Linked DNA regions of Caenorhabditis elegans. The protein of the gene in region 2 interacts with the protein of the main gene of each other region in a pairwise test. Each region holds a gene or a part of one and is shown on either strand. Other genes may lie near its edges.

The links.
Region 1: the proteins of nhr-42 (region 2) and F55H2.5 interact in a two-hybrid assay, tested with the Caenorhabditis elegans proteins (one large-scale study listed by BioGRID).

Annotation. Positions count from the first base shown.
Region 1 is NC_003281.10:9,509,296-9,513,950, forward strand, and holds F55H2.5 (Putative transmembrane ascorbate-dependent reductase CYB561 homolog), read left to right. Parts: upstream 1-2,174; 5' UTR 2,175-2,179; coding exon 2,180-2,796; intron 2,797-3,306; coding exon 3,307-3,490; 3' UTR 3,491-4,080; downstream 4,081-4,655. Other genes in the region: vha-14 (V-type proton ATPase subunit D), read left to right, coding at 11-115; F55H2.7 (uncharacterized protein), read right to left, coding at 4,283-4,344; F55H2.8 (FIP (Fungus-Induced Protein) Related), read left to right, coding at 4,596-4,613. UniProt on the Caenorhabditis elegans protein: Putative transmembrane reductase that uses ascorbate as an electron donor in the cytoplasm and transfers electrons across membranes to reduce monodehydro-L-ascorbate radical in the lumen of secretory vesicles.
Region 2 is NC_003283.11:6,996,936-7,001,242, reverse strand, and holds nhr-42 (Nuclear hormone receptor family member nhr-42), read right to left. Parts: upstream 2,425-4,307; coding exon 2,342-2,424; intron 1,903-2,341; coding exon 1,584-1,902; intron 1,539-1,583; coding exon 1,413-1,538; intron 1,322-1,412; coding exon 1,258-1,321; intron 1,210-1,257; coding exon 1,098-1,209; intron 1,050-1,097; coding exon 934-1,049; intron 888-933; coding exon 637-887; 3' UTR 592-636; downstream 1-591. Other genes in the region: nhr-107 (Nuclear Hormone Receptor family), read left to right, coding at 4,174-4,307. UniProt on the Caenorhabditis elegans protein: Orphan nuclear receptor.

The DNA.
Region 1 (4,655 bases), on a different chromosome or scaffold from region 2:
AAAATTTCAGTTGGAAGGACCAGGACCAGGAGAGGACGCAGCACATTCTGAAAATAATCCACCGCGAAATTTGCTTGCATCGGAAGAAGATAACTTGCCAGTCCTTTTCAATTAACCATTTGATTTTCTGATTGCCTCACAATGATTTCTGCTGTAATTTTAATTTTTTCGGATTACGGTAGGAACTCATTTGACCACTAGTCTCTTATCATTATTTGTAATCAGATCCCCCTTCCTTCCCCTCATCCAACACCCTCCGATGTTCTTCCTGTTTTCTATGTGGTTTCTTCTCGTATAGATTGACAAACATTCCATTAATTTTCCCGTATGCAAGAACAATCGATTCTGTGAATATGTACTCCAACCATTTTCTTTTAAAACTTAAAAATTCCTAACATTTTCCTGCTTCCATTTTCCATTTAGACTCGTGATGTTATCGTAGTAAAGGTTTGTAAATGAAATCTTCAGTAAATAAGAATTTCCACCGCGGTAAGTTGTTTCCTAATTATTTATTTGTTCAGAAAAAGAGCCGTTATTGAATTATGTCGTCGTCGACTGAAAGTGACACTGTGAGCAAGAGAAGAGCCATTTATAATTGCGTTTTTGGAAAGTGGTTTGAGTGGTGTCGTGTGGTCTAAAATATTGAAGATACGAAAATTAAAGTGTGAGAGACGGAGAGGCTCGTTATTCGTGTGAAGAGCCCTTCTATTCACAATTTGTTCGGCAGAACATTTTCCTTGCCTATTCTCTAAATTTCGATATGGGTTTCTATGTAATGTCATCTTCTTGAAATTCTGAATTTGTATTAGTGCACTTAGATATGGGGCGGATTCTTAATTAAGATTAATTAAATACCACTTAAAAAATTTTCAATTTTTTAATTTTCAAAAAGTTTCATAAATTTCTTAATTTATTTTTTTATAATCCATTAATCCTCTTCACTCACTCTGTTTGTGCTCTTCTTCTACTCATTCTCATCCTTCTTTTTGGCCCTTCAATGACATATCCCATTTCGGTTTCCCTTCCTCTTTTTCTCTTTTTCTCTTCTACACTTCTGCCTCTTTTCGTCGGTTTCTCTCACTCTTTCAGGCATTTGACTGACGTTTTTAAATGTGGCTCTTGCTCATTGAGCATCTCGCTCCACGTTACATATAATTTGCTGAAAAGTGAGCTATAATAGTTTCTTACAATTTTTGATAAGTTTTATTTCTCAAAAAAAATAGAAAACTTGTTTGAACAGTTCATAGAAACCTAAATATCACTTTCTTATTTAATTGAAATTGTGAGCCTAAATCTAAATTTAGAAATTTCAAATTCGTATAGCTGAATTTTCTGATTTCAAGTATCTTTGTTTTGGTTCCAAAAACTCTCATTTGGGTAATGAGCACAACACTGAGCGAGTAAAAGTAACGAGCACAACCCAAAAAAAACATTTTTTTTCAAAGTTTTGGTAAATTGCCACATTTTCAAAAAATGAGATTCGAACCCGTAGAATGTTTGATTACGAGCTGATTGAAACGCAAATTAATTGTTACAATTTTATTTATTTTTTAATTGAGTTTCAATTTTATGTAATTAAAGTTTAAAGGGGTTCTACAGTAATCCTCGAAATTATTCAAAAATCCCACATTTCGGGAAAATTTTGAAATTTTTGGTCGACTTACAAAATTATTAACTTGGCCACTTTTTGTCAAAAATTAAAAAATTGTTTTGAAAGGTTTTACCATGATATCTTGGCATATTAGAACTTGTAAAGATAATTTCCCTTTAGATAAAGAAAAGTTTTTAATGCCCTTTTATTTTCTTTACTTTAAAATTGTATTGTTTCGGATTTCATGTTCCTGTCAAAAACACAAAAACAACAAAGAATTGATTTTAGGCGCGCGACTCTCTTGACAGATTCGGGAGACACAGACGGTTAGGAGTCTCTCGTTCGTGTTCATTTCTTCTCTCATTCGTTCATATTGCTTCGGCCGAAGCCTTCGGGATAGAGTTGCCACCTCGTGATAATCAAAATTGGCTTTACCCGTTTTGAATGTTATTGGCAATAATTGTGATCTTTGAATAATCTCAGTTTTGACCCAATTATATTATTTTTAATCTTAAAATCATGCGTAAAACTTCGTGTACATAAATACTCAAGAAAAATTTTAAAAATTGAAAATTAATTTCAGGAGACATGTCGCTCCTCTTCGATCCGGGGTTTGTTATCCTTCGGGAGGACCAAAGTGTGAAACTCTTCAACATAATTCTCGTTATGTCTCAAGTATTCGGAGGGCTCGCCGTTCTTCTGGTTACCATTTGGATGAGCAAGTTTGAAAGTGGATTCGCATGGAATGAGGATCCTGATAAGGAATTCAACTATCATCCGACTTTTATGATTATGGGAATGGTTTTCCTTTTTGGAGAGGCTCTTCTCGTTTATCGTGTATTCCGTAATGAAAGAAAGAAATTCAGTAAAACTCTTCATGTTATTCTTCATTCGTGTGTTCTTGTCTTCATGCTTATGGCACTTAAAGCAGTTTTTGACTACCATAACCTTCACAAGGATCCATCTGGAAATCCAGCACCAATTGTCAATTTGGTTTCTTTACATTCATGGATTGGCCTATCCGTTGTCATTCTCTACTTTGCACAATACATCGTCGGATTCATCACCTACTTCTTCCCGGGAATGCCAATTCCGATTCGTCAACTCGTTATGCCATTCCATCAAATGTTCGGTGTGCTCATCTTCATTTTTGTCTCGATTACTGTAGCCATGGGAATTTCGGAAAGAGCAGCATGGAAGCATACGTAAGATTTATGTTATTATTACGGAGACGCTAAAATTTTCGATTTTTTTGCCGGTCTCGACACGACAAATTTATTAATACGAAAAGGCCGTGGGCCTTTAAAGAGTACTGTAATCTCAAACCCTGCAGAATTTTTTTTCACGGCAAACCGGCAAACTTAATGTGATTTTACTGTGAAAAATCGATGTAAATTCCGCAACAAGAAGTCACATAAATTTTTGCATTTGACGAACAATTGTCGTGTCGAGACCGGATACCGTATTTTTTAGCGCAAAAATCGTAAAATTTCGAGAAAAAAGAAGAAAATTTATATCAAAAAAATCGCTGGAAAAATTGACTTTTTTTTGGATTCAGGGTTGGAATTCAGTTATAATGATTCAGCTTAATCTGAAACAAAAAACTTTTTCTACGAAAACGCTCACTTTTTTTGAAAAAAGCGTTATTTTTTCACCAAAAAACAAGTAATTCCAAGATCTAAAAGTTAATATATTTAAATAAATTATTTTTTCAGTTGCTGGACTAAAGAAGGTCAAATGTGTGCTCAACAAGCAACATCTTCATTCGTCGGAGTCTTCACTTTCCTATACACTGTCTGTGTTCTCCTTCTTGTATTGAATCCACGTTGGAAGCGTCAATCACTTCCTGAAGAAGAAGGACTTCATCATTTGACTTCCAGTCATTCCATGTCTGATTAATTGTCTTCTGGGTGTCGAAAAATCTAAAATTTTCATTTTTTCGAATAATTTTTTAATGTCTGTTTAGTTTTTTGAACATTTTGTTTTCGGAAAATCGAAAATTTTTCGACGACACCCTTGCTCCCAGTGACCAGGAATGGGTGGCGATTCTACAAAATTACCTATTGCACCATGTTGTTCCAACATTTTCATCAAAAATTTGTGTCGCACTATAGAGAATCACATGATTTATCTGGAATTTACAATAATTTCATCTAAAAACTGATAAAAAATGGCCTAAAAGTTGCCAATTGCCGGAAAACAAAACTCGTTAATTCGGTAATCCGCAATCGAGAATTTTCAGGCCCTTTTTGGTAACTTTTTAGCAGAAATTATTGTTTTTTTTAGATAATGTTGGAAAAACATGGCGCAATAAGTAATTTTTGTAGAATTGTCGCCTATCCTTGCCCCGTTGTCCCATATCCCCCGTATTTATTTATTTCTACAATTTTACGATCTCATCTCTCCATGTTCACTAATTGCCTAATCAAATTTCTATCTGAATGCATCGAGCCTATATAAATTCAGAAATAAATATTTATGCACCTGTTAAAACCGAAGTTAAAATGCAAATGAAACAAAAAATTGGGCTGAAAGTTAAATAACCGTAAAATAAATAAGTATTATAAAATCGGGGAGAAATAAACGAATAACCAGTACTAGAATTGATACAAATATACAGTTACATATTGTAGTGAGATAATACACATTTTAAGAGATCGAATAGTAATAATGAGAATGTTATATGACAAATTAAATGTCTCCTTGACTTGAAAGTGACCGCATTCTTTTCTGTCGTCGACGTGGAGAAAGAACTGGAATTTGTGATCTTTGTATCTTTTACTTTTAGTTATTCAAAACATATATATCAAAACAAACACTCGAATTAAGGCCAATTTATTCAATTAACTAAAGGTTGACTGAGAGAATGAGGAAGTTCCTTATGATTTATTTCATGTTTTTCAGTGCGCCTAAGACATAAAACATGTGATTATGGATGGTATAAATTCAGAGGAAATGTTCAATATTTTCAAATTATTCACTTGAAAACTTCAACTTGGCAATAATGAGAATTGTATCTTTCGTAAGTTTAAAAAAATTATTTTACCTAAAGGTGACCCCAAAA
Region 2 (4,307 bases):
AACCCCCTTTTTTTTGCTATTTTTTATTTGCAAAAGTGTTTTTTTTTTACTTTGTTCCAAGTATCTTTATTTAAACATTATAGGGATTAAAAAATGGGACGCTGTTCAACATTTGTAAAAAAACACACATTGTTATTATTGTATTATAAATTGTAATATTGTATTGTAAACTATATTGTAAACTAAAATATATTGCAAACATATTGTAAACTTGGCAGTTGACCAAATATTAAGCGAACATTTTCAAATAGCTTGTAAAGTGTGAAGTGTTACAAAATTTGGTAATTTAGGATCAATTTCAAAAAAGAATTTTTTACAACTAGAATTGGGCAATAGTCGAAATTCCCATTGCGTAATATTTCTTGGCCATTTTTAATTATTGGAATTTTTCCATTGATGTTTTCCGTGCAGACCTGGCACAGGCTGGCAGCAATGAAAACCAGTGAGTTTTCTCTATTTCTATTTTTCACAGCAGCTGTAGATCAAAAAATGCACATTAAAATTTTTAGCCATAAGTCACAAAATGAATTTACGCCGTTATCTTTTTATCAACTTTCAAATCAAAATTTAACGCTCCCTCGAACATAATATATTTCTTGAAAAGTTCATTAATCATCAAAAGTTTATACACTAGATCTATTCTGCCATATTTCCAAAAATACTGGAATGCATATCATAAACATTATACACCAATGAAATCTCCTTTGTCTCGTGAATCATGTTCATGGTACGTTGAATACCGTGTAGAACCATTATAATCTGACCAACTCGATACGAATGATCTTCGTTGATCCGAACGTTTTTCTCGTAATCAGTCAGTTCTTCGATTATTTTTGCTTTCATCTGTTTGCAAACTTCAATACATTCTTCGTTTTGGTCTAGGAGTCCTGAAATAAATTTTTTATTAAATTTTAGATAACAGCTGAAACATACCATCATCGAAATATATTAACGCAGTGATGAACAAAAATTCGGGAAGATCCAGCTGAACATCATCTAAATGGGTCTTGAGCGTTTGCTTGTTTAACTTCCAGTAGGGTCGAAAAACTCTGCAAATTCAAAATATAAGCACTGGGAGCACTACAAGTAAAACTTACTCCGCAGCAGATTTTGCGCTATTATCATTTTGGTCATCCGGATTACTGTAGTACTCTTCGATTCTGTTCTCATCAATGAAATCTCCACTTGGCAGGTAGAATAAGTCACTGTCTGAAATTTCAGACAAATTTAAAGATGTATTGTTTAAAAATAACTCACTTGTGGATTTGTAACCACCTTCAAAGAGAATGAATGGAACCATGAAGTGTACGCAAAGGAGCTTCTAGAATTGTGACAATTTGAATAGGAAAATTTTCAATTTTTCTAGATAAAAAATTTTTCAACATTGAGTAAATAAAAAGTAAAATTAATACTTCCTGTTCCTGTGAAATATCTGATTTTTTGAATGTCTCCAACAAATGCTCCATTACTAATTTTATGTCTTCAAAGAACACGTCATTCATTCGCTTGTAATTGCAACATTGGGAGACGTGTGTTTCCTGAATATTCTTAAAATTCGAATAAACTATCACTTTAAAACTTACAGAAATGTTAAAAACTCGTTTTCTCGTTTCTTCAAGTTTGTGATAAGCACTTTGAAGATTCTCCAAAACACTGTCAGACGTTGAGGTAGATGGCTCATATGCATCCGGCGACCCAACAATTGATTTCTTATAATTCTGATTCTTCTTTGCAAGTCTTGAAAGTACCGCTGATTCTCTCATTCCAACTTTTAAGCACTTGTCATATCGACAGCTGGCACACAGTTTCCTCATCCCGGTGTCAACTTTGCATTGACGATCACAACGTCGAAAAATATTTCGGCGACCGGCCACCTTCCTACGGAAAAACGCGGCACATGCTCTGAAAATAAAAACTGATTTAGAAGTTTTAGCAAAATCAAGTTCTGGCTTTTTGATGGGAAAAACCCTACATTCAAAACTGGAAATATTTTAATAAACTAAATTTTTAATCTGACAGTTTTTGAAGGAACAATTTTTTGCATACTGTAGTTTATTGATAGTAACACCCAATTTGAAAGTTTTTCGAATTTATCAGCAAAATTTCGTCTATTTTTAAAGCGTAGAACAGTATAATTGGAAATAAATCAGGTTTAGAAAGTGTACAGTTTTTGAACAATTAACAACTATGACTGTCATTTGGGCACAAATAGTCAGCGTTCTGGGTGATCTACGCCTTCATCGTGCTTATTTGGGTTCCTACCAATCTACGAAATGATATTAGCAAGTACGTAAGCCAAAATAAAAAGATCTATAAGAATTAGTATTTATTTCACACTTACCTGCATGACAATGCCCCAAAATGGAGAGAATCAGCAGAATCTCCACAGATCAAGCAAGTTTGCGACGTAGTTTGTCTGGTCATCTGGAAAATTTGAACATTTTGTTTGAAACCGATAAAAACTAACAAGAGAGGTTCAACGAGGGAAATACCATTTTGAAGTGTGAACAAACACAAAAAAGGGGCAATTGCACGTGCTTTCTTGCCCACCGATAACAGGCATTATTGATTTTCACTTATTACGTACACTACAAACTTCTTGTTGGTCACTTTCGTGACATTTTTAACTAATTTTTTGTTTCTTTAATTGCAATTTGAAAAAGTCTATATCAATAACCATCAAAAACGGAATAGAAAAAATGCGAACAGACAGAATAAAATGGATAAATAGACTGCGAAGGGAGACTTGTGAATAGATGAAATTGGATAGAGATTGGCAAAGAGAGACGCAGAGTGCAAAAGACAGAGAGATAGAAACAAGAACTGATCAGTTTCATGTACTTTTTGTAAATGATCGTCCATCGTTTTCTATGTTTTTATATTGTTTTTGATGAATTCCTAAATTTGATATTGTCTAATTACAGTGAATAAAGTTTATGTAATAATTCGTGATTTAGGGAAACCAGAGAAGAAAACGAAGTATGTTTGCTCTAAAGCTGTTGTAGTGAAAACAAACGTTCTTTGTAGTGCAAGTTTAAGAAATCAAGTAATCATATGGAGTGATCAGAAATCATTTCTTAGAATAAGTTTTTAGGATACGGGTAATAGAATAATCTCTAGCTACTGGAAAAGTCGTACGTCTTTAATATGTTCTATTTACCCTAAATAAGTTTTCTGACATTTTTAGATATGAATGTGAACAAATAATATTTCCTTCGATGCATTTTCTGTATTTTTCAAATTATTTTTTTCTACTTTTCACTAAATATCAGTTTTGGCAATCTACAGATTCAAAAAAGCTCTTAAATTCCGAATTTGTATATTTTTAAGGTTTGAAAAAATGAGTAGTAACTTTTGACAAACCAATAAAAACGATTAATAATCTTTGAAGTGATTCTGCTTGGTTCAGAAAATCATGTGAACCAGAGACCACTCCATTTTACGGTTCAATTCGGAAAGCCTTGTCGACAAGGCAGAAAAGCAAATATGAGAATTAGTGCACGTGTTTCTTCAACCAGATAGCAAGAACTATCGATTTTCCTTTTTTTCTGTTTCGTTTTTTTGTAAAATTGCAAATTAGTCCGAATTAGTAAGTATCAATAACCATCAACGAATGTGATTTGAAGAATAATGAGAACCATCACATTAAGTTAGAGAACACCAAAAACAAAGCAAAAATGAGAGTGCGGGAGAGAAACATGCTTGATAAAACATGAAGTTGGCATTTTTTGAAATTACTGAACATGCAATTCAAATTATGACGCAAGAACATACAAGAAGTACAGTTGAAAATGTCAAAAACACAAAAGGCAGATAACATTTCTGTTTGTGCACATTCTCGAACTCTGCTCATTTCAAATGCACAAACTATTATAGTTTGCCTACACGTGTAGGTTGTAGATTGTGCGTAGTTCGATGCGTAAAAGTGTAAAAAAGGGAAATGTTATTGATAAGGGACTCTGAAAATTTTATTAACTTTCCTTAATAACATTTTTTAGCTCCACTCTCTCTCTCTCTTTTTCCTCTGTCTCTACCTCTCACACAATAAATCGACCGGTCGATTATTTTCATGTCGTCACTTTTTGAGCGATTAAATCTAATTCTCTGTCTTTTTTGTTCGAGTTTTTCAATTTGAAAATTTCAGATTTCAGATAAGTTTGAAAAGCAACAAAAATGGTGAATTGTATGGTTTGTGATGCGTCATCGGCTCAGTATCATTTTGGAGCAATTGCATGCAGAGCATGTGCTGCGTTTTTCAGAAGATATGTAAACTCAAAAAAGCTGACAATTTTGTGCAAATGCCTATC